4 linked regions of the Drosophila melanogaster genome follow. The protein of the gene in region 1 interacts with the protein of each later gene in a pairwise test. Each region holds a gene or a part of one and is shown in the gene's direction. Other genes may lie near its edges.

Evidence for each region.
Region 2: the proteins of smal (region 1) and e(r) interact in a two-hybrid assay, tested with the Drosophila melanogaster proteins (one large-scale study listed by BioGRID).
Region 3: the proteins of smal (region 1) and spt4 interact in a two-hybrid assay, tested with the Drosophila melanogaster proteins (one large-scale study listed by BioGRID).
Region 4: the proteins of smal (region 1) and mRpS5 interact in a two-hybrid assay, tested with the Drosophila melanogaster proteins (one large-scale study listed by BioGRID).

The regions. Positions count from the first base shown.
Region 1 is NT_033779.5:6,175,141-6,183,106, forward strand, and holds the start of smal (smoke alarm), read left to right. Parts: upstream 1-3,992; 5' UTR 3,993-4,559; intron 4,560-7,966.
Region 2 is NC_004354.4:8,902,348-8,909,802, reverse strand, and holds e(r) (enhancer of rudimentary), read left to right. Parts: upstream 1-3,554; 5' UTR 3,555-3,694; intron 3,695-3,812; exon of another isoform or gene 3,813-4,034; intron 4,035-4,214; exon of another isoform or gene 4,215-4,298; intron 4,299-4,418; 5' UTR 4,419-4,424; coding exon 4,425-4,739; 3' UTR 4,740-5,659; downstream 5,660-7,455. Other genes in the region: Rbm13 (RNA-binding motif protein 13), read right to left, coding at 6,446-6,601, 6,992-7,455.
Region 3 is NT_033778.4:12,628,931-12,634,757, forward strand, and holds spt4 (spt4), read left to right. Parts: upstream 1-4,658; 5' UTR 4,659-4,746; coding exon 4,747-4,815; intron 4,816-4,876; coding exon 4,877-5,039; intron 5,040-5,105; coding exon 5,106-5,224; 3' UTR 5,225-5,242; downstream 5,243-5,827. Other genes in the region: muskelin, read right to left, coding at 98-342, 398-527, 590-746, 799-1,118, 1,172-1,390, 1,454-2,055, 2,112-2,250, 2,333-2,675 and 2 more; CG33792 (uncharacterized protein), read left to right, coding at 3,744-3,812, 3,866-4,024, 4,075-4,524; Mvk (mevalonate kinase), read right to left, coding at 5,324-5,827. UniProt on the Drosophila melanogaster protein: Component of the DRB sensitivity-inducing factor complex (DSIF complex), which regulates transcription elongation by RNA polymerase II.
Region 4 is NT_037436.4:24,533,838-24,544,800, forward strand, and holds mRpS5 (mitochondrial ribosomal protein S5), read left to right. Parts: upstream 1-3,398; 5' UTR 3,399-3,476; intron 3,477-3,525; exon of another isoform or gene 3,526-3,560; 5' UTR 3,561-3,637; coding exon 3,638-3,779; intron 3,780-4,073; coding exon of another isoform or gene 4,074-4,075; exon of another isoform or gene 4,076-4,298; intron 4,299-8,572; coding exon 8,573-9,654; 3' UTR 9,655-9,697; downstream 9,698-10,963.

The DNA.
Region 1 (7,966 bases):
TTGTCGAATTAACATTGATGCCATGCCCGGCTGAGCCTTCATTTTGTTTGTTGCTTACCTGTCCGTCCGGCTGACGTGATGGCGTTCATTAGCACGCACGTCGGCGCCATTTTGCAAACGCATTTCCGCTGCAGCCGCACGTGCGGTTCAGTTGGCGTTTCCCAAACTGGGGATGACCTTTTACTCCCATCCAAGCCAGATAGATGTGAAATAGCAGTGATCAGCACTTAAGACCTAAAATGAAAAATATAGCAGATATTTTCAAGATTATAGAAGTCCAAACTTCTAACAATTTACTTGATAGTTTTCAGTTCTCATATCCCAATTTATTGGCCGTGAATCACGAGTCCATCTTCATCAGTTCGAAAACAGTATGCCCAGCAGTCATGTTGAAGTTGGGTAAATGTTATAAGTGCTCTATTTTTGCTGCCGGCATCATTTTTGCCATCCCCAGCGCCCATTCAAAGGCATTTTTAATTGGAGATGTATACGGCAGCTTAACGCAACGGATAGCAGTTGCAGTCCGCAGAGCTGGGCAGGGCAGTTGTACCCATACAGCGGAGGAGTAGCTGCCCCACAGAATCCCCGTATTCGGGTTCCAGGCCAAAAATAACCAGAGCGTAGCGGGCCGTATTGAGTCGATAATTGGTAACGCGTCACGTGTAATGCTCTCAAAAGCCAAAAATGGAATTTCTAATTAAGTTTTACAGGGATTTAATATCGACTATCTGCAGATCCCATTACGTCCATCTCCTCATCCTCCACCACTGGCCAGCATCTGGTGTGTACGAACCTTTGGTCAATTAACACATCAACGAGTTAAGAGCAGAAGCCCAGTCCCCAGTCCAGTTGGAGCACAAACTGGCCATCGGTGGGGGCAATTCCACTTACTTGCCAGAACATTTTCCTGCTGCTGCTGCTGCTGTTGCGCTGCAATTGCTGCTGTTGATGCGCTTCGGGGATTAGAAAGTAGTCAAAAGAACTCGGAGATGGATGGACGGGATGGCCACCGGCAGTGTTCTCGCCAGATTGGAGCAGAGTGAGTTATTAAAATCTGCTTAGAAACGTAGTTTATGGAACTTTGCTTGGAAGAGTCCTTCGGCCATTTAGAGTGTGCCCGGAATTAGATTTCAGTTTTGGATCCTCATTTAGTCAGCTGCTTATTTAATGCATGTATTTATGATTTCATTTACTATTTATTTATTTATTTATTGATATCAAAGTACTACTATATAATTCTTGCCAAACCGATATGAACTTTTTTCAGTGCACTCCGTCAATATGATGAATATAGAATCTGAATATGGGCAGGCATCGGCTGTCGAAGTTGGGCCAAGACAAGCTATAGCTGTGGCAGGCAACCCGTCACTCACCCACCCACCCATTCACTTATTCGCTCATTCACCCATTCATTCATTCACTCATTCACCCATTCCCGGGCCATCATTTGCCAAAGCCTCGCAGCAGTAACAATTGATATGCGTGTACGTGAGCTGAATGGCGAGCCTCCTCGCCGGAGGGGCAATTGAATCGATGTGCGCGGAGTGCGGCAGTGGCTCCATTGGGGAGTGGGACGGATTAGGGCAAACTTGTGAGCCAAGTCAGTGGAAACTTTGGCAGTTGGCGGGCGGGGGATTGGACCGAGATGGTAGCCTTAAAGTGTATCAGGCGGAATGGAAAACTTCTGCTCCTGGCCCACTACGACCGACGTTAGAACGCCGTGCGGGAGTTGGGCGGCTGGTTCACTGCTTCCTGCAGGAAACGCCAAATGTGTCGCCCATGTCTATTCTTATCAATTAGCCATTTGTCATTTCCGAGTGCGCAAACAAACGGCCGACAGCCGGAGCATTGCCAACTTCAATCCATAACTCAGTCGCAGTCCGGCAAAAGCCGTTGGGCATGCGCTGTCTGTCAGGCGGCTTGTTCGCCTACCCGGCAGTCAAACAAATCGGCGTATATATATATGGTTATGAACAGGAATTTACACAAAAATGCAATCAGCGCGGCTGATAAATTTACAAACTTCGTCCGAAGAATACAGAGTGGCACGCTGTCGCGTTATCATAAGCAAATACTTACATTGCATGAACGAGGACTCAAGGAACTTATCAGTTCGATTCATGGATACTATCACAGCGTAAACCAAATGGCGTATGTTTGCTTGTTATATTTGGCTATCAGTCCAGATGCATTGGAATGAATTCTTCATCAGGATCAACCGTCGTGTCAACAGCTATCGTTCTTGCACAATAGATAAAATACAGTAATGGGTATCTGATAGAATTTTTAATCTTCGAAAGCAGTCCATCGAGAATGTCAGTATCTATAAATACTTTATGGAGTGGGAAAGGTCTGGGACAATAAACAAATGTGGCAAAAGATACTATGCCAGTATCGCAGCATGGGGTTGATGTATTCACAGAGTCCTTGAAGGCTATGTAAATATTTACTCGTGATAACGCAACATTTGCTTGTTCTATCTATGTATGTATTTTGTATATCTATTAGCAGCGCTGAATGCATTTTTGTGTAAATTCCTGATCATAACCATTTGGCCGCCGCTCATCCGCTCGTCCGCTGATTTCTTTGACTGCCGGGCAGGCGAACAAGCCGTTTGACAGACAGCGCATGCCCAACGGCTTTGGCCGGAATGGGTATGAGTTATGGTTGGAAGTTGGCAATGCTTCTGCTGTCTGCTGTTTGTTTGTACACTCGGATGTGACAAATGGCCAATTGATAGGAACATGCAAAGAGTCTATCGAATAAAACTACGTACAAAGTTAAATTGACTACAAGACAGAATGTTTGATTTGCTGGAGTTGTCCTGTCAATAACATTTACATTAATCTTGCAGAATATTTGTATATATTTTTAAATTAATATCCAATTCATAGCTTTCTGGGTGTCTGTAATCATAAAATAGAAGACAAAAAACATGTTTTTTTTTTTTAACTAAGAAAACAGACAAAGAGACAGAAGAAGTACTGCTTTCATAAACAGTCACCATATATGATACAAATTGGTTACGGTTTCCAGATAACGCCTTTCCAAACGCTGTTCGCTTTTCGATAGGCGATCTGGCCCGGAGCGATATCAGTTGATTAGCGGCGATCCACTCGAGGAATTCGTTGTGGGCCCCTCGAAATTGTGTCACCGAGTCAAACATTCGAAAGTGGCGAAGAACAAAGGGTCGGATCAACTGGTGAGACCAATCAATCAACCCACAACCTCTGCGATACAATCTACAAGTGCGTAGCTATAAATCCCCATGCCCCACGAAAACCGTAGAGTTCGTAAATCATACATGTCCATATGATATGGTGCACCAATGTGACAAGATCGCATTTCTCTGCTGGAAATTATGACAAGTTGTATGTGCGATTTCGGCTTAATGCCGGCGTCAATCATTGGAAATTCATCAGAGGCCGCGATTGGCGGCGGTCCGCCATTTCCAATTTGGACTGCAAGGCGGATTCGCCGGAAAAAGCGAGCGAAAGGAAAAGTCGGGGAGGGTAAAAACAAATCAACAGTTCGAATTCGCTCTTGTTTTGTTCCACATTCGCCGCAGACGGAAATCTCTTATACGAGCCGGAAGAGAGCGGAAAAACTCTATCGGATTTGGAGTTTCTCGGCGATTTTCACAGAGCACAGGTGAAGTGCCTGGGCCTGGGCAGGTAAATTCAACTCCATTGTGGATAATTTTACTGAGAATTGAAAAACTTAGTTTTTAGCGCAGCATATACAATATAAACTATACTGTAGCTTAAATGATAAGTTTTAAGGAAACAAAAACATAGAAACAACTCCAAATTATGATTTAAATGTTAATTTGATAATATAAATCCTTGCAGGTCCTTTACAGCGCTCTCCACACATAAACTTTGTAAACAGTTCCACCGACGAGCGAACAGAGTCCACAAAAGAGAAGCGCTCGCTCTCTTAGCATCCACACTTACATGCAACGGAGTGGTGCGCTGCACGTTACATTCAATCGGATTCAATCGCTCGTCGACCTTCGTGCCGCGCGTTACAAGAGTCGCAGTCGCTGTCGCAGTCCGCCGTCTCAGTCTCAGTTTGTGCCCCCAGTCTCAATCCAGCTCTCGTGACAAGAAGAACAGAACGCCTTGGCCACTGGCAACGCGGTCGCGAATCAACGCAGTTACCCATCTCAGGCTTAATCGGCTGGCAGCCAATCGCCAAGAGATCCGACAGATACGGATACGCAATCCGCGCAGCGCGAGTGCAGAGATACGAATTGGTCAGGAATAAGATACGGTGCAAGTGGCACCCAAGATGCGGCAATTGTGCACCTGCGGCCGCCAGCAGCGTGCGGCAAAGTGTGTGAAATGTGCTACCTGAGAAAATGCCCACGGAGTGCTCAAACATATCGAAACAAACCAGCAGATAGAGTATCTTTTGCTGCCCCAGTGAACAACAGTGCTTGAAATTTTAGTAGAGAAATCGTTGTTTTTTGCTACAAACTAAAGTGCAAACGGAATACAATCAATATACACCTTAAGTCAACGCAAAGGCTAATTCAAAACTCTTGGAATATTTAGGTGAGTTGAGAGTGAAGAAAGGCCTAACTTGAAAACAATCAGTGCTCAATGCTCAAAGCAATCATGTCAATAAACAGGATTTCCCCATAGAGACTTTGCAATGCATAAATAAATATTGAGTTGCAAACAATCAATTAGTGCGACAAAAACAAGTTTATGTCAATTACTAACTAAATAATTCATTTATCCGAAAAGAAACCAGAAGAATATTGGCCCAATCAAATGTATCTCATCAAGGCGCATTCCAGAGATCAAAAGATATCATTTCCAACCCGTTCTCCCCATTTCTTACGGTGGCTGTCCCCTTGCCTCATTAATTAAACACAAATTAAGAAAGAGCCAAGCTGTCAACATCTGGGGCTAATCAAACTAACCTGCTGTATTTTATAAATAAGAAGCGAAGAAGAAAAGCGGCGGCAGGTCGTAAAACGCTAAGATACTGCCCTTATCTCCTAAAGAAAGATCTTTCTCCGAACACTTTGTGCCTCCGACGGCTGTTGCACACAGATTCTTATCTCGCAGATGCAGTTATGTATCTAGATATTCCGCAGTACAACCTCAACCTCGAGTCTTTGGCAACTTCACACTCCGCTAGACGCGCAACGAGGCCCCTGGATTTCATAATTTTCCCGCTGTTCTGCGGGGTAATTAAGTAGAAGTATGTTTGGCAATTAAAGTTCCAGAGACCTCGCTTTCGCTTTTTCCCCCCGCAATCATCAGCTTTTGTAAATAACTCGAGTTATTTTTCTTGCTCACTTGGGATGGTTTAGAAATTTAAGATTGAGATTGGGCATCCGATGGGTAGCGATTACCGCGAGCTGCGAAGATGCAGCCGCAATCGCGCATGCATAATTAATTTCGTGTAAAAATCATAATTACACCAATTAAAATTTGTGTAAACAAGTTGGCAGCAGGCGGGCGAGTCCCTCAATCTGCCCCAAGCGCCGTTTGGGGCGCAATCATTATGATAATACCGCTGAAAAAACTTTTCGTGGTCGATTGCGAGGGGAACTCTTTATTGCCATTGTAGAAAAAGTTGGTGGGCCCAGGCGGAATTGAGTTGGCTATATTATGGTAATGAGACGTTTGAGTATGCCTCCAATGAACAACAGATTTGCCGCAGATTTGCCCAATCTGCTTTAAACTGCGCCTAAAACCCATAATTCGATGTGCGTGAAAGAATTTAAAGCACCGAAGTTCATAGATGCATCCACATAGCTACCATTAACAGGTTGTATTCAATATTTTATTCAAATCTAACTAAAATACTAAGACAGCAAAGTGATAAAATTGATTAGCAATGAAATTATGAAATGCAATAATCGCTAGTTTTATTTCATTGCCACTGAATCCGAAAAATACGTTATTCATTCAAACGTTGCGTTGAATAAAATGTGAAATATGTTTGTGGAATTAAAAAAGGTGTATAAAACTATATTTATAAATATACAAAGTGTGCAGCTTGGAAATTCATGGGAATTATTATGAATTTATTTTGTACATAAACACACATCTCTTTCATTTACCTGCAACCATCTACCAACGAAATGAAAATGTGTATCTCAATTTTTGGGGGGAAAATATTTTCTTTTGTCAGCTGGGATTACGATGGAAATGGGGCAACAATATTTACCATGTTCTTCTGCAATTTTAATAAGGATCCATTTAAACAGCATTGATTAAACTTTGTTTTCATTAAAATCTAAACAAAGCCCATTCATGCAATGTCAAAAATAAATAATAAAATGTCTAATTAGACCATTAAATCCGATGGCAATATAACAGCCAGCTAGTCGCATTTGAACTATTTAAGTTTAATTTGAAATGCCAAGGTATATTTCTTCTTTAAATAAGTAAAATTCCACCGACGTGCGGCAATTTATATTAGTGTCTTCTTCAACGAATTCAACTTCCATTTAACCTCATTCTGTACACATCGCATCCCCCAGGTCATTTTTCAGGGGCTGGCAAACACAACAGTCAACAAAATTTATACCCAAGAAGTGTCATTCTCGTGTGCATTTCGGGCTTTTTTTTTGCCGCTGGTTCGACGAGATCGTGTCGCTGCCCACATGGCTGCCACCGAATTGCTGGCGGAGACTCCAACTCCTCCGCGTCCCCTAATTAATTAGCATCTAACTAAGAATAATGTTTCCTGCGGCCCTCGACTGTCATAACTTGGCCGCAAGTTTATTTGTTTGGCTCGCCAACCGAAGGCGGCGCACAAAAGACATAGCCACCATTCCGTGAGATACAGATACAAGTACACAGATACAGATACAGATACGGGGGAAAACTGGAGGCACAGATGCCAAGACGGCGCACAGGTGCCACATTTTCTTCGATTGCAGGGGTATAAATGCCGCCAGGAGCACTAATTCGTGGCTGCCACTCCGCATTTTTGTTTGTTAGTTTCGTTTGGCTGGGTTTTTATGGCCAGTGTTGGTTTTTTTTTTTAGTTTTTATACACTGGCGTTCTTGTGTTAACTTGTAAAATAATTACTGACGCCGTTGTCTAGTACTTGTGAGAAAAAAAACGTTGAGTGTTTCGGCAGCTCAAAGTGCCCATAAATATCCGCATCCGCAGCTGAGAATTTCCAATGAAATGATTTCAAATGAAATGACTTGGCGCCAGCTCCATTCCCTTAAAATCTGTTATGTGCTTGCCACATTTGTTGTTTCGTCTTGGAAGCTCAGAGACCTCAACTTGAGGTTTTCAGCAGTTTCGTTTCCTTTTGGGTTTTTGCTCTGCTGCGGCGCTTAATTAGTTCAGAAAAAGTTGAGTGCGTTAAAGTATCTCGAATATTTCAAGCTGTCAGGAGTTTGGCGATTGGACAGCAAGGAGGAAAGCTGATGGAAAGAAATTGAAATGGAATTTAATGGTAATTGCTGGGAATGGACGATAGATTGTGGCTGGATCAAAGTTGCCCTCTGTGGTTCTCAACCCAGTATCTTCGATCCAGATAGCGTTCTCACACTTTCCCTTTCAGCCAAACAGCCAAACTCACGAGCGAACCCTTTTCCTCAAGTCGGACCACACATCCATTAAGATTTCCTGCTTGGCTTCCTTTCGATAGTGGTGACCCTTATCTGGGCCCCTTCTGAACACATTCTCCTCCTACTCCTATATATATTTTATGCAAATGTCACCGGGTGTGCCCCCTAGATGTGCCTTCTACGGCGAGGATTTCGTCGAGCTAATTAAGTTTCGGTTACAGTTCACTGCGCAAAACGGCGATCGCTGCATATGAAATGTGTATTTGAAATACTGAATTGGCCCTCTGATGCGCGGCGGAAATGAATCGCCGCTCATCAACTTGACGACGAATTCCCGCATGTGTGATCACTGAATAGGGCAGTCTTATATGCATTATGAGAGGCCTGTGTCTCCCCGTCGATTTGTCGGA
Region 2 (7,455 bases), on another chromosome or scaffold:
AGAATACAAATTTTTTTGGATTTTTTTGTGTAACAAAACTTGCAAAAAGAGCACAAAATTTAAACAAAATTACCAAATTTAAAACCAAATCGTTTGGCATTTAAAAAACAAGTTTAAGTTTCATTTCATTATTTCGAGTGCTCAAAATACTGATTATTTTTTACACAAAAAATAGGGAAAACAATTTTTGGCCAAAATTCATATTTACGATTGGTTTTTTCTGTATAACTTGGCTTAAAATTGGCAGAGAGCCAAAAGAACTACCGTTTTTTACTCCTAATTGACAATACTAACTATCCATATCCGTTTTTTACGGACTTTGTAAAATTAATTTTTGACCAAAATTTCGCATTTTTTGTAAGGGGTAACATCATAAAAAATGAAAAAAATTGAAAAAATTTACATTTCCAACTTTTGAATACAGTTCGATTAAAAATTTAAATACAAACTCAGCGATGTATGGCATTCCATAATCAGACAAATATTTTTCAAGTTGTGGCCAAAAAAATAGATATTTTATGACAAAAAATAGTAAAAACGGGTTTTGTCAAAAATTGAAATATTTTTGATTGGCATTTTAATCATAACTTGGCTAAAAATGATCATAAAGCTGAAAGAATAACTGTTTTGGGCAGCTAATTACCAATGCCAAACAGCCCTATCACTTTTTGACGTATTTGAAAAAATTAATTTTTTAAGAAATTTTCGCATTTTTTGTAAGGGGTAACATCATCAAAATTTGGAAAAAAATTGAAAAAATTAAAATTCCAATTTTTGAACACAGTTTAATTGGAAATTTAATTACGAGCTCAACGAGGTATGACATTCCATATTAAAAGCAATTAAACCAATGGAATTGTACAGATATACAGATTTAAGAATGATTGTTTAAAACATGAGTGCTGTTTAACTGTCATTATAAATATGAAACTATCTGGTTGTTAAAAAATTTATATTTCTCATCCGGGTAGTGGGAAATTAGCGACGCACCTTAAAACAAATAACAATACGCCTACAAAGTCGTTTATAATAGATACACAGCTTTTGCACACTTTTGACGATAAAAACGATGATGTTTCAAACACATCAGGGGCGCCCACGTTCTTATCAGTTGAGAATGTTCTTTACTTATCGGCGCCGTAAAGCAAACACTTTTCAAAAACGAGCGTTAAACAAGACAAATTATTACAGATGCTTAGATGCGATAATTGTAACCTAATTGTGATTAATTGTAACTAAATGATTAAAATTAAAATAAAAATCACAGTTTGAATGCACAAAATTGAAATAAAGTCGATTTCTCCATTTACAAAAACTTGATATCTCCATTTGGAAATTCTAATTGGTTTGCTCTCCTGCCTTTTCTGCTTCCACTCTCTCTCTCACTTCCAATTGGAATTGGGGACTAACGAAATGGAATCAAGTTCAAGGCCACGATCGATTGATTGCCATCTCTGTCGCACTTGTTGGATGTGACTCACCTGCTGATTGGAATGAAGCTGCGCTGCTCCTCCTCTGCCGGCGTTGCCTCCTCATCGACGTTGGCAGAGGCAGCGACCTCTGACGTCACGGGGCGGTAAATCAAAGGCTTCACGTTGCGTTCGAAATCGTCGAGGAAAACGACATCGTGGACGGGAATAATGCGGTGATCGGTGACGTTGAAGTGGAGATCGCGAAAGGGGCCGTTGAAGAGGCAGCGCAACGGTGACGTCACCAGCACAGCATCTTCCGGAGGTAACTGTAAAAAATGTACAATATTTGTTGTATTTTAACGTATATCAAACATTTACTGATATAGTTTTATATTAAATCAAATACACCGCAACAAATCTCGTGCAAACATCAGATAAGATATTGATACGATACGATAATTAGTATAATATTTAAACAATGCGCAGTCAGGAGAAATATAGAATGGCTTATCAATTTTAAAATAAAACTAACGGAAACAGTAATATTGTACATATTTCAGTTTCAACTCAAAGCATAAGTTTCTCTGTAGCCAAGACACCATTTGGTAAGTTAAGAAAACTATTAAGTGGACGTTTTTTTTTTTACCTTGATTTTGCCATTGGTCGCCGAGAACATTGAGATTTCGAGATTTCAGCGATAAGAGATGAGCAACAACACAAATCAAATAGAATGCACAAGAAACACAGATACAACACCCACACATGAATGATCGTGCAACGGTGTGCGCAGAACAGTGAAGAGGAAGCAGAGAGACGAAGCAGAGGCGACAAATTGGACACGCGTGCGTCGCGTTGGTTGGATTTTGTGTTTTCTTATTTGACTATTGCCTTTTCGGTGCTACTTTAACGGGTTTCCCCGTTTCACAGCCTTTATCATCTTATTTTCGCAGGGCTTTTTTGCTTTTCAATTTACTGCCTGGGTTTCATTTAACTTCGCTGCTCTTCTACTTCATTCATTATTTGATTTGTTTACGTTGCTATTTCCCAATTTGTTTGCTTCTTTTCACTTCATTTTCTTTCAATTAGGACGCACACAAACACACAGGAAAAAACAAAAAAAAAAAAAGAGAGACACGAACGCCACTTGCACAATTGAAAATAACAACAAATTAATGGGAACGCGCGAAACACGGGCTGCTGCGGCTGCGCCTTCACTTTTCACTAAAACAAAAAGCACGTAAATAATGTTGAGACGAGATTTTGCTTTTTGTTGTTGATTTCTTTGCCGATCGCTCTGCCGCCGCTCGACTGCGCTGCCCGCGACACCGCGCTCTTCCAATTGGTCCAATTGAGATCAAACAGCTGGTGGGCACTCGGATCTTCGATTGCCGCTGTCTGGCAGCACTGGGAACAGTGAGAACAGTGGCCAGACTGCGGAGCTGGCGATGGGCGATAGTTTTGTTTCATTAAAAGTAACTTTTGACTTTATATTAAATACAATACTAAAAAATGTAAAAATATGCTTTTTAATATGCACTTTAAGTGAAAATGATTGTACATTAAGTTTACTTCATAAAGACTTTAATGACCATAATTTGTTGATGGGCGTTAATTTTATTCTAACTTAAATAAACGTAATACCTAATATTTATATGTAATAACAAAATAAAATGAACCTAAATAAATAATGCAATCCACTTTAATTTGACATTATAATTATAATTTTTTTATAAATATATAAAATAAAAATAATAAATAAATAATTTCCGTAGTTATTGTAATGTATTACTATGATGAGTATATGTTAAAAGCTTTAGTTAATTTTATTTAAAAAATCTGAAGACTAAATATGGAATGAATTACGCCAAATGAAATGAAAATATGCATTGAAAAACATGCTTTATACCTAAAGGCGTAATATACATAAAGTGTGCTTTTCAATAAAAAAGTGAATGAACATAATATGGAATCAAATACATATACAAATTGAAATGCAAGTATACATTGATACAATTAAGTATAAAAAATCACAATTGTCATTTAATTTGGTAAATATTATTAAACAATGTATATCAAATAAAAGATGTTAGTATTAATCGATATCTTTCGATTATTTTGTCACGGCGAGGCACGCAGCGAAGCGCTCATCTCTAGCTTCAGCCTCCTCTTCAAAACCCATAGAACTGGCAAAATAAAAAAAAACGAATCAAGCGCTGATTTTACCGAATCTCTTTACTGAATCAGCATATTATCATAGTCCATATAGTCCGGCGTTCGAACGGGTAAGTTGAACACTAAACGGGAGACATGGGAATTATTTAAAATTCGAGAAAAATCGGTGAAAAGGAAGAAAAACAAGTGATTGCATACAGTTAGTTACACACACGCGGCGGCCGTTACTCCTTGTACATGTGTGTGCGTGTCTGTTCGCGCTTCCGAATGTTTGTGTTTTAGTGAAGCGGCATAAGCGTGCATTATCTTGTACAAATGTACGCATTTCTCCATTGCCAACATTCGCTTCACACACAAATTACTCGTTTTCCATGCTGGAAGTGCCATCTTAGTCTATTTCCCAGTTGCAAATTGGAAAATCAAAGAGCGTTCTGCTGGCCAGCATGTGTGGTGCGCGTGTATTGGTGTTGCGGCGAGAGCGCGAGCGAGATGGGGCGATGCGTTGCATGCGGCAACAGCATATCTCTTCCATCTCTTTCGTTTTTGTTCTTTTCCTTTTTTTTTTGTCTTTTTTTTTTTTGCTGACAGCTCTCTATGCTTCTAATAAATATTTATGCACAATTTTTGCAGAGCTGGCGAAGTAAACTTCAACTTCGAGAGTCTCGGAATCTTTCGGACTTTGCTATAGAAAAAACGCTTGTTAAAAAAAAGGATGTAAGTGATGAAGATGAAACGTAATGTAATGAAACGCACACTAGTAACATACATACATACATATCGCTTGAGTACATAGATCACCGCCAATAACATTAATGTTCCATTTTTGCCTTGCAGATCACCATGTCGCACACCATCCTATTGGTACAGCCGGGTGCTCGTCCGGAGACCCGCACTTACTGTGACTACGAGAGCGTCAACGAGTGCATGGAGGGCGTGTGCAAGATCTACGAGGAGCACCTGAAGCGCCGCAATCCAAACACTCCGACCATTACGTATGACATTAGCCAGCTATTCGATTTCATCGACACAATGGTGGACATTAGCTGCATGGTTTACCAGAAGAGCACCAATACCTATGCGCCCTACAATAAGGATTGGATCAAGGAGAAGATCTATGTGCTGCTCCGTCAGGCGGCATTTAGTTCCAATACCTAAAGGGACGGCGATGCGACAAGATACATACATATAAAACCAAATAACACGATGATGCATGCATCAATGCGTGCAACACTAACGACAACAACACGTTGATGTATGCAACAATGCGTGCAATAGCAACTACAACAACAACAACAATACGAGGATACATGCAACAGCGCTTGGAACAGCATCCGCAACGGCCACAACACCATAACACCAATAACACCAACAAGATGAGGAAGAAGAAGAAGATGATGATGGAGTGGTGGGGCATCGATTCCATTGGAGACTTGCTGCTACCGACTAGATCGCCAAATGACAGCAACTTTTTTTTGCAACATAACGCAATGCAAAAAAGGAAAAGGAACACAAAGAGAACGATAAACTGTATAACTTAGAAATGGAAAACTTACTTTAAACGTACTAATATATATATATATATATAAATATATATATAGGCGTATATATATATATATACTGTATATACACCCAACTGACAACTGTGTGTGTTTTTGTGTGTTTCAATGTTTTTTTGTGCGGCAGCCACAGGTGACGGTTGTTCTTATCGATAGCGAACTGTATGTTTGTTTGTTTGTAAAACCGAATGGCAAATTTGCAAGTGTGCATTTTTTTTTTGTATGTTTTGCCGTGTGTGCTAGCTTAAGTCTTTGCAATCTATCGAATAATAAACTAACACATCAGGACACACTGAGCATATATAAACATATTTGTAAACTACTGATTCCCCCCCCCCCCCTTTATCATTTGAACTTAGTTAAACAACAACTTTTAGCCCGCTGATTTTGCACACCGATGGGCTTTGTGGCGTTTTAACGGCTTGTTTTAAGCAAAACAGAACCTTTGGTCGCAGATGCGAAATGACCTTGAGATGCTGGTTGTTGTGTGTGTGGTGAGGGGGGAGGGGTAGGGGTTTGTGGGTTGTACCCCCGCCAGATATTCAATCGGATAACGAACTTGGACCGCCGCTGAATCGCTTGGCCGCACTGCATTGAACTTGGCGTGCGATATTTAATTAGCTCCGCGACAGCATTTTGTTAAATATATATATATATATATATATATATGTATATATGCACATTTAGTGTCGACTTGTGGATGCTGCTTACTAGCGTTAACTAGCAATAAACATAGTGTTTATAGTTTACCCATTATATTTGCTGAATATTAATGATCACTAGATTTCTCATTATTCAGACAAATATATTTGTTTGTGAAAAAAGCATTTGCTACAGCAAACTGTACAGTTTATTACAAAAATATGTATATATATTTTCAAAAAAAAAAAAAAAAGAATTTCTCCTATTTAAAGTAGTTTGCTTGCCACGCAACTCCGCGCTTTTTACAGGGTATGCAATAGCGCTACAGCTGCGTCGAATATGGTGCATAGTTTTTTTTTTTAGAATATTTTTCAAAACTGGTTTTAAACACTGCATTGTCGCCACACCGCCCCGCACCGCCCACTTTCAATGTCAGTTAGCCAGCCTCGCTTTTTGGCCAGAAAGCAAAGCGAATGGGATGCAGATGAAGTGCATCCTGCATGAGATGCATTTTTCGGTCATATAGTGTTGCACTTGTCTAGTTTTGTTTTTTTTTCTTTCTTTTTTATGTAAAATACTATTCTTAACCGGCTAAACAATAAGCGTTAACAGCTAAGTGGATTGAGCATGGGGGGGGGGGAGAAATATATATTGTGGACCTGGCTAATGGCGCATCTGCCGCTGTGCCTCCTTCTCCACCTCATACTCGTACTCCAGCTGCAGTTTGGGCTTCGAGCGGCTGCGTCGACTGTTGCCCGCCGGCGATTTCTTGTCCTTCTTCGCTTTGCTGGCGGTTTTCTTGGCTGGCACTTTGGTCTCCTGTTAGAATGCAATTGTTCGTTTTAAGTTCGGTTTGGCAATTGGAATTTAGTTTTGTTTCGTTTTAGTTTTCTTTTTTTTGGCAATTTTCTGGAGCTGTTAGTTAGCGCGCACTGAATGGAAACCGACGCAACTGAATGAAAAGCGGCGAACGGCGCTCGGAAAGCTTTATTCTCCAAGCTCCAAGCGGGCAGAACTCGTTTGCTATTTCTAATTATGGTAATTTCGGAAGAAGGTGGCAGGATTTAAGCAATTGCCAACTATTTACATACTCAGAATTTTCAATATTAAAAGAAATTCATTGAAAAAGGATTTGGAAATCGTTAAATGCTCCAGAAAACTGCCAACAAAATAAAAAAGAAAAGCCTGATACATGACCAGAAACACTACCTCAATATCATCTGCATCCGCATCGTCATCCTCGTCGGACTCCTCGAAATCGCTGCCCACCTCGACCTCTTCCCGCTTGCCGGAATCGCTGTCGTAGTCGTCCTCGTCATCATCATCATCATCATCATCATCCTCCTCCTCATCGTCCGTATCTGCCTCGACGAACTCCTCGTCGAGCAGGGATCTCTGTACTTCCTCAGCTTCGCGTGAATCGTCGCCGTCCACCTCCATTTCGCGCTCCAGCTGCTCCTCATTCTCGTCTTCGTCGTCTAGCTCCTCCTCATCATCCTCGTCCACGCGTTCCGCCTCCAGAGCCTTGTTGAAAGCGGTCTGCGAAAAGTTGTAGATGTCGCGATAGGTGCCATTCTTCAGACGATCCATCAGCGCCTTCTCGATGTGATTGTCGATCTTGGCGGCCACCAAGGCCTTCTCCTCGCGCCGCGCCTCCCGCCGTTCGATCTTCG
Region 3 (5,827 bases), on another chromosome or scaffold:
ATGATCAACAGTTTAAAACAAAACTCTCACACACTTAATAAGCTAAATATAATCTTGGATGGGGGCTCGTATTGAATCGGTTTTGGCACGTTAACATTTACATGACCACAAAGTCGCTAAGGTTGCGTTCAGGTTGGACCATGCTCGGTGGCATCAATTGCACCAGTTTATTGAACAGGAAAGCTCGCTTATTCTTCAGCTCGGGTGTGCAATCCGTCCGCGCCCTTTTGGTGCAGGAGGAGGAGCTCGGACTAGATGCAGTCTCCGAGATGCCAGAAGAGATCATGCTTTCGTTCGACTCCAGGGAGAGGTTCTCGGTAGCGGGTCCATCAGCCAGTTCCTCTGTAAAGATACAAGTTGAATTATCCAATACGAATTCATTATTGACTAATAAAACCTTTGATCTTTGCCGATACATCGGAATCCGTTTCGAGATCGTCTGCATCAGCACACAACGCAGGTGTGTTGCATTCTCTGTCAAGGTTACCATCATGGTTTTTGAAGAGTAAAGACGCAAGCTTGTGGAACTAAAATAATCAACTCAGATATAAGAAAGCTACAAAAATTGAAGTTCTTTTTTTAGACATACATTATTCAACTGCTCCGCATCGCTGTGATCAATGACATCGGCTATATGATGCCGTAAGTATTGCATTGCCTTTAAGGGATCTTGGCGCGTCATCTCCTCATAGCGCAGTTTACGCACCAAAAACCGACAATGCTTCAGGATCTCCTCTCGTTTGGGTCTAAAATATAATAAAATTATCATCGATTACATTCAGCTAGTAAATTACATACTTTTCCAGACATAAAAGCCAAAAATCATCAAGTCTCAGCTGCTGCTGCTGGCAGATTCCAGGATTTCCGCCAAACAAATAATGGGTATTGGTCACATCATCATAGACCAGCTGGTGGGCATAGCGAGGGCACGGCTCTAAGGTTCCATCACCCTTGCTAGCGCCCAAAATATTCATGTTGTTAATTGAGTTGGCATCCTGGCCACTGTGGCGACAGTAATATATCCTCGACCACTTGTGATTGCGCAAGGAATAAACCCAAAAGGAGTTTGATGCATCAATATGCTGTATATCACGACGATCCTTCACCTTACTTAGGCTCTAAAAACGAAGAAGTTAAATACGAACGCCGAAATAATGTCAGAACTACCTACAGAAAAAATATAAATTTCATCACGTTCACAGTCAATGGTGGCACGTAAAGTATAACCGGAGGAAGGTTCGAATTTGGCTTCGTTGCCAGCGATGGTTCCGTGATGCGGGTGCTCCTTGTTGAGAACCGATATGGCCTGGGTGTCTACATCGTAGCTAAGAAACTCATCCAGATCCTCCTTCCCTCGTTGTCCGCCGTATATGTAAAGTTTTCGATGTTTCTATAATAGCGCGTACAAATACATATATCTGTATACATAGCTTATAGAGTATAATTAACCTACGTTATGGAAAACCATGCAGTGTGTGATCCTGGACTTGATGGACATCACATCTGCCAGGGAAGCGCTGGCATGGTGGCAGTCCACCAGAATCTGAGCCCAGGTGTTCGTTGCTATGTGATAGGAGAACAGCCCCGAATATTCTGGTTCTATCGCTCCCGTGGCATTGACACTGCGAGGCGTGAGTATTTTGCCTCCGAAAACGTAAATTGTACGCTTATCGGTATCCATGCACATCTGGTGATCATAGACAAGCTGAGGACCACCCACTTGGCTGGTGTCATCGCATATTTGCATCCAGTTGCCAGCCCTCGTATCGTAAAGGTAAAAGTCGCTCTTTATATAATCCGAAGTTCGTATCGAGTTATCCAGGTAACGACCAAGCATGAATACATTTTCGCTGATGGGATCAAAGACCATTTTGTGACAGGATCGCGGTGTGGGTCCATTGGAAAGCTCTGACCTTTCGCACAGTAGCGTCCACTGATCATCTTCGATATTGAATACCCAAAGGTCGCTCAAGTCCTGGTAGCCATCCCAGCCGCCGTAGAGATAAATAAGTCTCCTTTTGGCATCCACCACCAGCTGGTGACCACCGCGATTGCCTGAAATAGAGGAAGTTAACTGCTAATGATTGCTATTTGGAGGCAAAAATAGTTACCAGGCTTTATGTCGCTTTCGGTATGCTTCATATGCCAGCTGTGCTTGTAGTCCTGCTTATGTAAATACTCATCCATTAGGCCCTCGTCTATGCACTCGACTATAAAGCGTTCAGCCTTCTCAAAGTCGCCCTGCAAAACCTAAGAACCAGTTTTTTTTATGAATTTAATACCAAACTTCAAAGGTTTATAGCATGATCTATGCTGGGGATTCCTTTCTTACCAGACACTTATGCAGTTCGCTGATCAGCGGGTGCTCCAGTTGCACATTCGTTTGCTCCTGGAGCGCCCCAAAGGCACTCAAATAGCCCTGCTGGCGGAAGTGCTTCAGACACAGCTTGATGATCTCCACCTCGCGCAGCGAGTTGTAGTTCTTCATGCGAGCACTGGTGTACATGGGGTCGTCCTGGCCGTGCAGCTCCACGTACCAAATGCTGAAGTTGAACGACGGACCCCAGGAGAGCAGGGGCACGATCTTGAGGTACAGTATTGGTAGATTTTCCGAACCGTCTTCGGTCAGGCAGCGCAGGTTGAATACTTCTGGCACGTTATCGTTTTTTAGGCCACTGGGAAAAATATTTGAGTTATATTAAATAATGCATTTCAGAAAACCAGCTGAATGACCTACCCCTCCAGCAGCAAAACCATGTGCTCATCGTCCAAGCCGCCGTAAACACGGAATTTCTTGATGTTGCACACATGCGATTTCTCGAACTTGCCAAACTTGATTTTCTTCACAATGGCGGGACGGCGCAGCTTCAAGGTGAGAAATTGCGGCGGGCTGTTCGTGTAGGCGGACCACCTAGATGTTTGGTCGTTGGGACAGTCCACCAGGACGTTTCTACGAATGGAAATTAAAAAGATGCCCGTTTAACAATTACGATATGCGAGGCATCCATTTTCTTTTCCAGATTAGTACTTACTCAGGCAGATAGTTTGGCGAGTAGCTGGAGTAACGGTAGATCTCAAAGTTCAGGCGCTCGGAAAGCGAAAAAGGCTTTTGGCTGCTGGTATTCGTGCCGGAGACCGGGTTTAAAGATGGATTAAGGGCCGAGGACAGCGCCACCGATCCGTGCGAGCTGTTGTCCGTGGGACTGGATGTCGAGGAGGAGGACATGGCGAGTTCTATTCCAACGATCCTAGCGGTAAAAGATTAACGGAGCTCGGCTGTAGCTGTTATTACCGTTCTTTCTTGTCCGTACTTTTGTGCTTCCCTGTTCCACACCCAAAACAACCGCGTAACAGCTGATCGCCAGGGGCGTAGCCGTTATCTCATCAGGGGGTCGATTAACCGATTGTCTTACATTACATTGGCAAACGGTTAGCATTTAACAACAATTAGCATTGTGTAAATAACCAATAGAATTAGGCTGTAAAATCAAAACAAGCAATCGACCTTTTCATTTTACGCTTTTTTACTTCCGAGCGATAGTGCATTTTTAACAAAAATTAATTTACGTTAAGCCGATTTTTTGGCTAAAGTGTAGATAAGTGTATCGTGGCGTATCGATTATTTATTTGAAAGCTGTTTGTTCATTCAACCGTGATACCTTTTTATCAAGTGTACAAAGTTATTAAAATGTAGTTAGCGTATGCTTTAAGTTGTTCGGTTGAAGTTATGTTTATTTGTTTCAATGATGGCAAAGTGGCTTGCTGTCTCTTGTGTGTACTTGGGCGTTTTATTATGCCTTCCAAATACCATTGTGCGTAAATAAGCCCGTATAAATACAGATTTCAAAAATATTTTAGTTTTTAGTTCTATTCCAATGGATACTTTTTCAAAATCAGAAAAACTGAGTGCATAGCAAACGGAGCATATTTCAGCAATGTCTCTTGCATTCTGAAGCCTGTAAACTGGACTCGATCGGTATTGAACATGGATGGTGACATAAAGGAGGCATTAACTGATATTAAGGTGAGAAGTTTCATTAATTTAAGTATTACAATAATAATGGAAATTTTCAGATGTCAGTAGAAGTGTTCTACAAGGATTCTTCGAATTTGTACAAGCCCTTCGCCGTTAAATTTAAATTTGATGTTTGCCAATTGTTAAAGAATAAAACGCAAAGTAATTTTCTGCAAAAATACGCTATTAGCCATTTGACGGAGTGGACTAATGTAAACCACAGTTGCCCATATAGGGTAAGCTTATGTATATATAATATAGTTAAATTTTCTCAATATATTGAATATATATATATGTTTCTAAAGGGTCATTTGATTGCGCGTAACTTTCGTTTGGACGAGGTCTCTCTGCCCATACTTCCAATTCAGGATTACAAAATTGCATTTAACTTTTCAGGAGCCAATCCAGGAATTCACTTGGGACTGGTTTTGATCTATTTTGAAATTCTAGAGGATTATTACAAGCAAAAAAAGAATAAGCCACTGCCCAAGCCGTTGAACTTTGTTTAAAATTCATATAGCTGCTAAGGAAATATACACTTTTAAAACACGTTTTAATACAAAGGTTAGCTTCGTGAAAATTCTTTTGACAATTTTTGTCGGGTGTAACCGGCGCCCATCGATATCGTAGATTCAAGAAAATTTTAGAGTACGGTCACTCTGTCAGTGTCGTGGCTTGGTTTTGCACGGATTTTGTATTTTTAGTTTTAAACCCATAATTGATAAGTAAATATGGCCTTTGACGCGATACCCAAGGATCTGCGAGGACTTCGCGCCTGCCTCGTTTGCTCCCTAGTGAAGGTGGGTTATATTTTGCCCAGACTCGACACACATTTTCATTGAAATCATTTATCGCCCGCAGAGTTTTGATCAATTTGAGACTGATGGCTGTGAAAACTGCGAGGAGTTCCTGCGAATGAAAAACAACAAGGACAATGTCTATGATCACACTAGCAACAACTTTGACGGAATTATTGCCCTAACTACGCCCACCGACTCCTGGGTGGCCAAGTGGCAAAGATTGTGTAAGGCCTGAATGACTTCCGTTCCAAAAGGGTATTACTGATATATTTGAAATCATTTTCCTTTAGCCCGCTTTACTCGTGGTATCTATGCCATTTCTGTATCCGGAACACTGCCGCAGTCTACCTTACGTGACATGAAGAATCGTGGAATTGTCTACAAATCTCGGGACAGAAGTCAACGATAAACAAACAGATTGCCGTACAAAATACATGTATAAATCTTTATTCTTTAATTTATAACAAAACCACGAATACATACAATAGCAATACAAAACGAAACCGCATCAGTCATCCAGCGAACTAACGCGCAATCCCTCGCCGCCGGCAGTCGTAACATGAACACCAAAACCCGCCGATTCGAGCTCCTCTTTAAGCTTCCAGTAGACCTCGTTGCACTCGTAGTTCTCTGGAAGCAGAACGATGACATAGCCACCTGCGCCGGCGCCCGTCAGCTTTGAAAAGAAGCCACGCTTAAAAGCGATGGTGAAGATTTGCTCCAGTTTCGGGTGCGACACTCCGATAGCCTTCAACAGATCATTGTTGATCTGGAACAGGCGTTCAAGTTGCTCGAATTTCGAGCTATCGTCTTGGGCGTTGCCAAAGCTTTCGTAGAGTGGAACGGCGGCGGCAACAAGCTCCTCGCAAGCCTGCCAAATGGCCTCGATGAGCTGCGGAAAGGCATCTCCCAGATGACGAACCTTGGCCACAATGTCGGCGGTGCTGCGACTCACACGACTGTCCACCAGCAGGATGTTTAGTGGTTTCTGGATCTTCAGCGACTGGAAGCC
Region 4 (10,963 bases), on another chromosome or scaffold:
CAGCGATGGTCTCATCTAGTGACTCTTCTGATGAAAATCCTGGAGAAGATGCCTCCAAGCAAAATTGTGATGAAGTGTCAAAACTTCTAACCATTTACGAGGTTTCAGTTGGTCTTTTAAAAAAATAAGAATATTTAAAATGAGGCCAAGAAGTATAATGGCTGTAAAACTCTAGGGTCTCCAGATTAAAAATAATAATTATTATTTACACAGAATACAACAAAACAATCGTACGCTCTGAGCAAGTTGAAGCGCAGCGACAGCAGCGGGGAAACTAGAAGGCCAACAAAAATCTCGGCAAGCATAATGCACAAAATCAAAATGATTTCGCGGACGTATGTCCGGCTGAAAAGAAGCAACGATTCGGTGGTCCAAATGCCCAGAATCAAAATGGTGGTGTAACGGGCGGTGGTGGTGGCGCCAATTAAAATAAGAATTTTGCAAACAACAAGGGTGGGTTCGCTGGAAACCGCTATCGCAAAAACAATCGCGCTGGAAACCAAAACCGGACTTTTCCAGGCAACAACAATTCAAATGTAAGTTATCTAAATTCGATATAGTTGATTAGATTATCCCGGGCACTTAATTGTATACAAATATTAGGTATTCTTTACATTTTTCGGGGGGGAAGTTAAATAGGGAGGCACGCCTGTAGAGCCGATTGAATCGATGTTATATCTGTTCAGTTTGTATTCTAATGGTGTAACTGGATTGAATGACGACACTGCAGATGTGGCTCACATATCAATTGCATATTGTACTCATTTAAATGTATAACACAAATATAGCAAAAGCCCAATAACGAAACATCAAAGGCGGCACTTCCTAAGAACAATGAACCGGCAACTGCAGCTTCTGGCCAAAATCAAGCGAATCAGAACGCCAACATGGGCCAAAATCAACGGCAAGGACAAAACCAAAATCAATCAATCAAGTCCATGGTCAAAGAAATCAAGGTGGACCAGAATATCAAGGAGGTGCAGGCAATTAAGGAGGCCAAGGAAATCAAGGAGGAGCCGGAAATTAGGGAAATGATCCAGGATTCAGAGGTCGCAATGCTGGTAACAATCAAGGTGGCGGTTTCTCCGGAGGTCCGCAGAACCAGCAGCGTGACAACCGAAACCGTAGTGGTCCACGCCTTGCGAAGGTGCAGGTGGCACGATGAACAGCACCAATATGGGTGGTGGTGGCGATGGAGACGGTGGTCCGCGCGGCTGTGAAGACTTCTTCATTTCCCAGCGGTTTTGCAGCATTTCTGGGCCCACCTTTAAACCACCTTTAAACTATCATCCTAATGCCGAGAAGGCTAAGCGCGCCCTGGACGGATCGATGCGAATGGTGTACGATTCGCACCGAATGTCATTTTGCAGGTGAGAAATCTCACACCGTTCGTTTCCAACGAGCTGCTGTACAAGTCCTTCGAAATCTTTGGTCCCATCGAGAGGGCCAGCATCACCGTCGACGATTCTGGCAAGCATATGGGCGAGGGCATAGTTGAGTTTGCTAAGAAGTCATCGGCCAGCGCCTGCCTGCGGATGTGCAATGAGAAGTGCTTCTTCCTGACTGCTTCCCTTCGACCGTGTCTGGTCGATCCGATGTCTGATCCGATCAAAATGCCAACACCATTTTAACAATTTGCATATTTGATGCCCGATAAATCGAAATGTAAAAATTGATCCTTTGCACAAATTAAAACGAATCCATTCCGCTTTGCGTGTTCCTCAAACAATTTCTTAATAACTAATGCTATTTTATACATTCACAAAGTATTTGATTCGCATTGAAGTGGTAATTTCTGTGCAAGGGCATTTCTTTTAACTGCTTATTGGATTGTAAGAATATCATTTTTACTTTTTAAATTAAATATTAATGAATTTATCCCTTTTCAGGCAAACAGTGAGAGTCTGAAGCCAATAACCAAACTTTGTAAAAAGTGCCTGTGCATTCCGGCCAGTTCAACAGAATATGAAAGAATATGTCTTATTATGAATATAAAAAACCATTATTTTGTTATTACTAAATATTTTGAATACTGCGTTAATTCAAATAATAGTTTGCATTGAAGCAAATAAAGCGTTTTTGTTTAAAAATGCATTTTAATTCCTGTGCATGTATTTCTGCATTTTTCTAAAGGGCTACTGTAATATATATTTTTTAATTTGCAAGGGTATATAAACATCGGTTCACGTTAAATTATAGTTCCTTTATTTTTGTTTTCTTTTTAACTATCCATACTATCGATGTTTTCTTAAAAAACCATCGATAGTGCCGACCATCGATGATTCTCCAGCTCTATTCTCGCGCGCACTTTAAAGTCAGCCAAATAATATACAATTAATTCTATCGATATTAGTGTCACCTAGTATTTTATATTTATACACAGCTTACACTTAGTGTTTTATATTTATACACGGCTTTTATCTTATCGCAGAAACATTTTTTTTTAATAATCAAGGCTTGTTATCTTCTAATGAACCCCTTTTAAGAAATTACATTCGCTTGCGTAATACCAACTTTTTTAACAAATGTAAGTCAAATGTTTCAATCATAAAGTAAAAGAACAAATAAAATTTAACAAATGAAACTTTTGGCTGACTGACTTAAACAGGGGGAAATTTAAAACTTTTAAAACCTATAACATATTAACGAAGAAAAATATAAGGATCTGCATTTATTGTTTATATTGACAATAATGATTTATTAACTTCGTGTATTTTTACAAATATTATTTTTTCCTCATATATCAGGGAGTTTGCAGTAGTGCAATGACCTTTTATTTTTAGAAGTACCGGGTCACTAGCCGAGTCGATATGGCCATATATGGTCCGTATAGATATCGAAATCTAAGGAACTAGTAAAGCTAGAAATTTGAGGTCTATAGATATACGTAGACGCTGCGCAACATTGTTAACTGATGGTGTTACGCTTACACATAAGGATAATGTTCTGACATATATTAAGTTTTTTTTATCAGTTTTGTTAATTTCTATCAATATGACAAAAAACTTTTGCCACGCGCACAATGCGCCCAAAACTACAGCGACCAAACTAGATATTTAGATTTTTCAATTATATTTCAGTCTCGTAAATGAATATCGTTTTGCTAATAAATGCTTAGAACGCCAACAATACCACAAAAAAATGTTTTATCTCTCTTGTCAATTTCTATCAGTATAAACACCTTTTGGCAACGCCACATTATACGGCCACTAACTGGTCAAAACACATCCACACATTTGAAAAAAATAAATTTGTTCTTATATTATTTGCTATTTTCCCAATTTCTTTTGATCTGAGTAACGGGTAACTGATAGTCATCGAACTCGACTAAAGCGATGCAAATAGTCGTTCCTGGTAGCTCGACGTTCATAGAGACGGACAGACGGATCCACTCGTCTATTAATTCTGATCAAGAATATATATGGTCGGAAACGTTTCCTTCTGTCTGTTACGTACTTTTACTCTAGGAGTAACGGGTATAACTATGAAGGACTAGTCTGGACGGGTCTTAAAGCATGACGCACGTCTTATAATTGTTTTAATTTGGTCTTTTTTTGTAGCGTTACTGCTAGTGTTGCTGTATTAACCTCATAAATATCCTCAGTATCAAAACGTCTTAATAAATTCATATGTAAATATGAGTCAAACATTGATCCGTCGTCTCTTCAATCAAGCTTGTAGCAGAAATATTTTTATTTTGAACCAAAGCTTGTTATCTTCACATGAACCCATTTTACCAGGTTACATTGGTTTACGTAATACCAGCTTCTTTAACAAATGTAAGTAAAATGTTTTAATTCAATAAAAGAGCAGAAATGTTTCTATCTGCCATTGGATAAAAATGGTTCTAGGTAGTAGTAATGGTGCAAATAAAATGAAACAAGGAATTCTTTTTCTGGCTGATTTACAGTGAAATACAGTGGGTCAGAAATTATTTCCACGAGGTGTAATTTGAATCTTTCAAAGCCTTTAAAAGAAAAATGTCAGAATCATTATGTATTTTTTATTTAAACAACAATGATTTATTATTTTCGTGTATTTTTACAAATATTATTTTTTCCTCATATTTAAAGGACTTTGCAGTAATAATGACCCTTCGTATTTAGAAGTATCGGGTCACTAGCCGAGTCGATATGGCCATGGACAAAAAACTTTTTCCACGCTTACAATCCGCCCAAAACTACTGCGACCATACTTTTGAAAAATATTTACAGTTTTTCTTTATATTTCAGTCTTGAAAATGTCTCTGTATTTTCTTATAAATATTTGAAAACCCCACAAAAAACGTATTATTTGACTTGCAAATTTTTTCTCGGTATAAAAAAAACCTTTTGGCCATGCTCCTTTAACGCCCACTTACCGGCCAAAACTTTAAATTTGTTTTCATTTTATTTGTCATTTTCTCAATTTTTTGAGATGTCTGAATATGTTGAAATTTCTAGTTTGCACTTTCACTAGCCAAAGACACTAGAATAACAAGATAAGTAACGCTCATACATTGGTTTGGCACTATGCAGCCACTTTTTTAGTGACGGTTTAATTTGCTCTCTGTCCGCTTGCTTACGCTGAGAGCGTAAGAAATCTAAAAATAGAATTTGCTTGCTTGTGCGCACTTTTTAAATATATCAAATTGGAATAGACAAAAAAAACTGAAACTGAACAACCGAATCTATTAAAAATGGATAATTTACATACATCATATTCATATTAAGTCAAATGACTTCATAAATATACTTAATAATTAAAGCAAATACAAAGGAAATTATTATAACTACTGTAACTAGTTAAATGTTAAATTTTCCAAAAAGAAGACATAAGAGAAATAAATATTTCATAAAAATAATACGTTGTAGAAAATAAAAATTTATAAAATAAACTGTTTATTGCAAGTCATATCTTGAGGCACGAAGTGCGGACACAAGCACTCAACAATCATTGTCGCATGCTGAACACTCTATTGACAAAAATTCGAATAAAAAGTAATTTTTGAAATTTATTTTGTGATATTATGATTCGGCTATTACTATTTCTAAGCTATATTTAAATAATAATAACGTTAAGGCAATGCAAAACAAGAATTTTTCGCGTGGTGGCAATTGATTAAAAATAATATAGATTTAAAGTCTAAGAACTTCTAAGGTGAAGGGCATATTTTGTCAAATTTAAAATGCATGATCATACACACTGTAAAATAAGTTGAATTTTTGACTTTAAAGCTAAAAATTAAGAGTTTTTTGCTTAATTAAACGCAATTTTTTTATAAAATATAATTAAACAATATTTATTTTATCTATAAATCACAAAAACAAATTAAAAATATTAAATATACAAGAAAATAAACAACAAATTCCAAGTTTACACACTTTTGAGACTGTCAAGAAACAGCACACTTTGAGAATTTATCAACACACGTTAGGAAGTATTTTTGTGTGTAGAAAATACATCAATGTGTTAACGTTCTCCTGCGTAGGTGGTGATTGGCATTTCTTGGATGTCATTCAAACTTAGCCCTCGAGCAGACCTTACAATTTGCAACAATTTGCTGTTAATTTCATGTTAGGAAAAAAATAGTCACGCATTATTTGCTTAACATTTTCCTGTGCCGCTCGGTGGGCGCGGTTGTGTTTTGCCTGTACTTTTTCACTTTGCTCCGATTTAACTGGGAGTTACCAAATACTTTGAGTATCGAAATTTTGTTGACGAGAAAAGTTCGATCAGTGTGTGTTGTTTAAAAGCAAGGATCGGTAGTTCGCAATGGATTCCTTCGACGATCCCTGAATTTACTTCGTCTTTTAGTGTTTGGAGAAGAGTGCTCCGATTAGAGATCCATTCTGAAATAGCACGAAGGTTCTAACAGATAGGAAATCAGATTCCTCAATAATTAACTGATTCCTGAAGCAGTTCACTGATTTGTCAGTAGTCTCTATAGTGTATGTCCATAGCAAAGAATCGCTGACCTACACTATAGAGACTACTGACAAATCAAATCAGTGTAGGTCCATAGAAAAGAATCCCTGACCTACACTGTAGAGACTACTGACAAATCAGCCAGTAGTCATCTTATCAGCGGGTGATGATCTGTATAGATGTTGAAGTTTCTCACACCATACAGGTAATTTCTTAAATTTTTTAAATTTGTTGCGAGATTTTGTTCGTTACTCCGTAGTTCCCGAGAAATAAGTGTAATGGGGCGACCTTCTTGGGATAGCACTGCTATATATCATACCCCGAGGCATTTGTTGTTAGGTCAAAGGGTTTTTTTATCTGGATATCTCAAAACGACATCTTCAGAGGTTCATCTTCGTTAGTTCAATAATCACTCTCCTTGAGTGATTAGCACTTATTTTGCAATTTTCGCCCTTTAAGACGTCCGTTAGGGGTCTGGCGAATCCCTTGATAATAATAATAATTAGGTAGCCCTAGATATGATCTAAGTGCAAAAAGGGTTCAAGGGATTTGAAAATTTTGTAAGGCTTGTACCTTATCTTGCGAAGTTTGAATTCCACCTCTGGACACAGTAAATCCCAGATAGTCCACATTATTTTCAAAGAACTTGGATTTTTCCTGAGACACTTTCATGTTAACTTCATCAAGGTTTTTAAAACCTGCTTCTTGTGGTCCTCTTTTTTTTTTGGAAAAAATTAGGAATTAAAAAAAAAAGAATTAGGAAAATAAGTTTCCTGATCTATGACCATTCTTTTCTTTTTATGACCGAATTCATCGACACCTTTTTTTATCAACAACCCAAATAGGGTTATTGTAGGGCGATCTTGATGGTCGATTGATGTCGTTTTCTAGAAGTTGATTAACTTCTGAATTAACAAAGTCACCTACACCCGTAGGGTATATGTATAACCCGTACTACCCTGGCTCATCATATGTTCGTATGGTAGCCAGTGTTTATATTGTAGGGTACCGACTCGTTTGGGTCCTCAAATGCATTTGATCTAGATTTGAGCATGATATCGAAGGATTCTTTTATAGACAAAGGTACGTCAGAGTCATCGACCTGTGTGAAATTTACATTGGGAAACGTTTTGAAGTTAAGCAACCGGGTGTCGCCTTTAAACCTAATGATACCGTTACTTAAATCAAGTTATCCGTCAACGTGCATAAGCAGGTTAAGTCCCACTATACCGTCAAAATCTTTAAGAGTTAGTTATATGAAGAAAAAGGTTGTTTTATTGAACAATTCGATCGGACATTTTTTTGCCCCCATTGATGGACGGAACCTGAAAAGATTTTTCAAAGGGAAAGAAATTTTTTAAGGTGGTAATCGTAAAAAATTACAGGAATCATTGCTCACATCATCTTCATATGCTTGAGCATTTTCCTCAGCTAGGGACCGGTAATCATTATCAACAGGGTCCTGCTCCTGAATAATTTACATTCTGCAGGCTCTGGGTTGAGTTAGCTTTCTTGCATAATAATGTAATGCATCCTTTTTTAAGTGCTCATTTAAAACAGCTGCCTCTGCAGGATAATTTCTTATGATTGTTTTTTTACTTCGTCATAGTATTCTAGTCTAAGAGTACCGAGTTCCTATAAAATAACGCGTACTGGCTAGTCTGGCTATAATCAAAAAAATTATATCTCGTTGTTATATGATTGTGATGTTTGTGTCTAACAATCATCCATTGCAGCAAAATTCGAAATAGAAATTACGTTCTCAATTGGCATAAAATTAACATCAATAATATTGGTAGCGCCAAAAGAAGTCGTTTGGATGCAATTATACTTTTGAATGTAAGGGAAGAAATGTGTTCAAACTGGACCATCACCAGACAAAAGATTGCAATGGCTCTGGTGGAGGATATTATGGTGGTAATATGGTCTGTTTTCTTTTTCTTGATCATCAATTGCAGCAGAACGGTCCTCTCCCCACATTATTGTTTTTTTCTTGAACGGATATCTTTTCGATGCTATTTACGCAGCTCATCAGTCTACTGTTCTACTTCGAATTGCACGATTTGAACGTCGGTGGAGCGGCAATATTTCACTAAGACAAAGACGTTGAAAAATCGCTGTAAAAAAAGCAGTTAGAAATAATTTTAACAATCAATCAAGCCACGGTGCCGGTTGAATGCACAAAAACAGATAATAAAAAACCCGAAAACTCGAAATCGATTTACGGCTAACCTCAATTAGCAATACTTTTAAAAAACACACACGTATTAAAACACAAATATATCACAAATCCGCGAAAACAACAATAACAAGTCTCTTTTTTTATGTTTTCTCTAAGACTCGTTCAATTTTTATCAAAAACAGCAAAGAAATATTGTTTCATAAGAAAATGTTCCGATGTCAAATATTAAACTAACGAATGTGTTGACGTTTGTAACAAATTTTTTCTATTTTGCGTTTTTTTTTTAAAGATTTTCTCGAATTTACACATAGCCAAATTTTTGTTCCCAGAAAATACGAAGCCAACAGAAAAAAATCCAAATCGGACTTTAGGAAGTCGTAGAAAGTCCAACTTTGATTTATTTATAATATATTAGAAATAATATTTTGAAAGCAAATAATTTAATTTTACTCAACTAATTAAAACCTTTTTGTTTACTTTTAGTACCTGCTGAAGACATTTGGCGCGGAGTAACTGCGGTTAGCAATGCTGGAAAAAAAAGAGGCCGTGGGAAAGGAAGTGGAAAAAAAGTTGCAAAGGATCTTAACAAAGGGCAATCTATCGGATTCGGAAAATGCGGTCGCATATGGCCTGGATTGAATTCACCTCTTATACGAGGAAACGAGTTAATTAATCAGCAGAAACTCAATGAGAATTTAGATAGAGAAAATGGTATTTTAAAATTACGCGATTCAATGGGAAGTTTTAAATTGATGAAACTAAATCCAATAGACCGAGGTTGGTCTGGAAGTAAAATGCCCGGCCGAAGCATTGGACCTCCTGATCCTGTTGGCGACGAAGAGTTTGTGTCATTTGATACTAGAGTTTTAGAAAACAAAATTGTTTTTATTATGAAAGGAAATATGGGAAGAAAACGAAGATATTCCGTTCTTTCAGTCACGGGAAATGGTAATGGTTTGGCAGGATTCGCTACCGCTAAAGCGCCAGAAGTTCGTACGGCCCTTCGAAAATCAAAGAACCGAGCAGGACAAAAACTAATCAATATAAGCCTTTGTGAAAATAGAACAATTTTTCATGACTTTCGTACAGATTTCGGAAAAACAAAAATTTTTTGTTTTCAGAAACCTGATGGATACGGCTTAGTCTGTCACCGGGCAATTCAGACAATTTGTAAAGTTATAGGTATCAAGGATTTATATGCCAAAATTGAGGGGTCTACGAATATCCAGAATATTGCAAAGGCATTTTTTATTGGTCTGATGACGCAAAGGTCCTATCAGTATATTGCTAACGAAACAAATTCAAACATTGTTCAACTGCAAAAGACAAGAAATAGATTCATTGATGTAAAAGGAATGCCTTTTCCTAATTCAACTCTAACGCAGAACACCCAAGAAATTGACTATATGCATTTCACATTAGGAAATCAAATAGTTTTACAGCGAAAAGGCACAGTACCATTTTATGTTTATAGCAAAGGACATGACTTGCATCAATTTAAAAAGGAGCGATTTCGGAACCAAGTTAATGTTCGGCTACACAAGCTAGTTAATGCTTATGATTAATTTATGAAATATTAAAACTGTTAAATAAAAATGTAATATTATTAAAGTTTATTTTACATGGAAAAATAAAGGTATAGAGGTATAGACCAACAAAAATGCCTCGGTAATCCAAAGTACAACTTTAATTAATTATACTCATAGTACCTAAAATTTTTTTTACGAATTTATTATGTAAGAATTTTTTAAGTTTTTATCTTACATTTATTACTGAGTATTAAAAACAATTAGTTGTTGCTTTGCCCAAAAAGCTGTCTCATTATTTAACAAAATTGTAAGATTGTTTTATGTTTATTGATTTCATAAAGTTAATTACCCACTCTGGGAACTATAATTTTTGTACCAAAATTAGTTTTCATTTGTTAAATTTTATAATGACACTGTATGTTAGTAAAGATTTTTAAGCCAAATAACAGATCTGCCCAAATTGTTTGAAATTCATTTTATTGTTTACTATGCAATTAAAAAGTAGTGGGACAAATGCAACGCAACACAGCCCTCTCGAGCTTCTTATTGTTGCCCCTCTCCACTTTCCTACCCGATACCGGCGCTAGAATTATTCTAGTGTCTTTGTTTTGGTCATATCTTGAGGCACGAAGTGCGGCCACAAGCACTCAACAATCATTGCCTTATTAATTTTTCACACGCCGCAAGCTGGATACTCTAATGACAAATATTCTATTATATAAAGTCATTTTTGAAATTTATTTTGTGATGGTATGTACATAGATTTGGCTATTTCTAATCTATTTTCAAATAATAATAACGTTAAGGCAATGCAAACAAGAATTTTTCGCATGGTGCCAATTGATCAAAAATAATACAGATTTAAAGTCTAAGAACTTCTAAGGTGAAGGGCATATTTTGTCAAATTTACAATGCATGAGCATACGTGTGCACACATAAAGTTTTCTGCTATCACTGTATGCGTAGAAAAGAGCTGTTCGCTGTAGCGCTCTTCGCTCTCTAACAAAAATTCGAGAGAGCCTGGAGCCACCTATAGAGCCACGGCCAAAAAAAAATTCAGGAACTGCTGAAAAATTGCATAATCCAAGAGTCGAAGTCCCTTTACAATAACCCAATATGGGTCGTAGACAAAAAGGGCACCGACGAGGCGGGCAACTAAAAAATGCGTTTGGTACTTGACTTCCGCAAACTGAACGAAAGGACGGTACCAGATAGATACCCCATGCCAAATATCTCAATGATATTGGGGAATCTCGGCAAGACCAGGTACACGACACTCGATCTGAAGTCTGGGTATCACCAGATCACGCTCGCCGAATGCAACCGCGAGAAAACGGCATTCTCA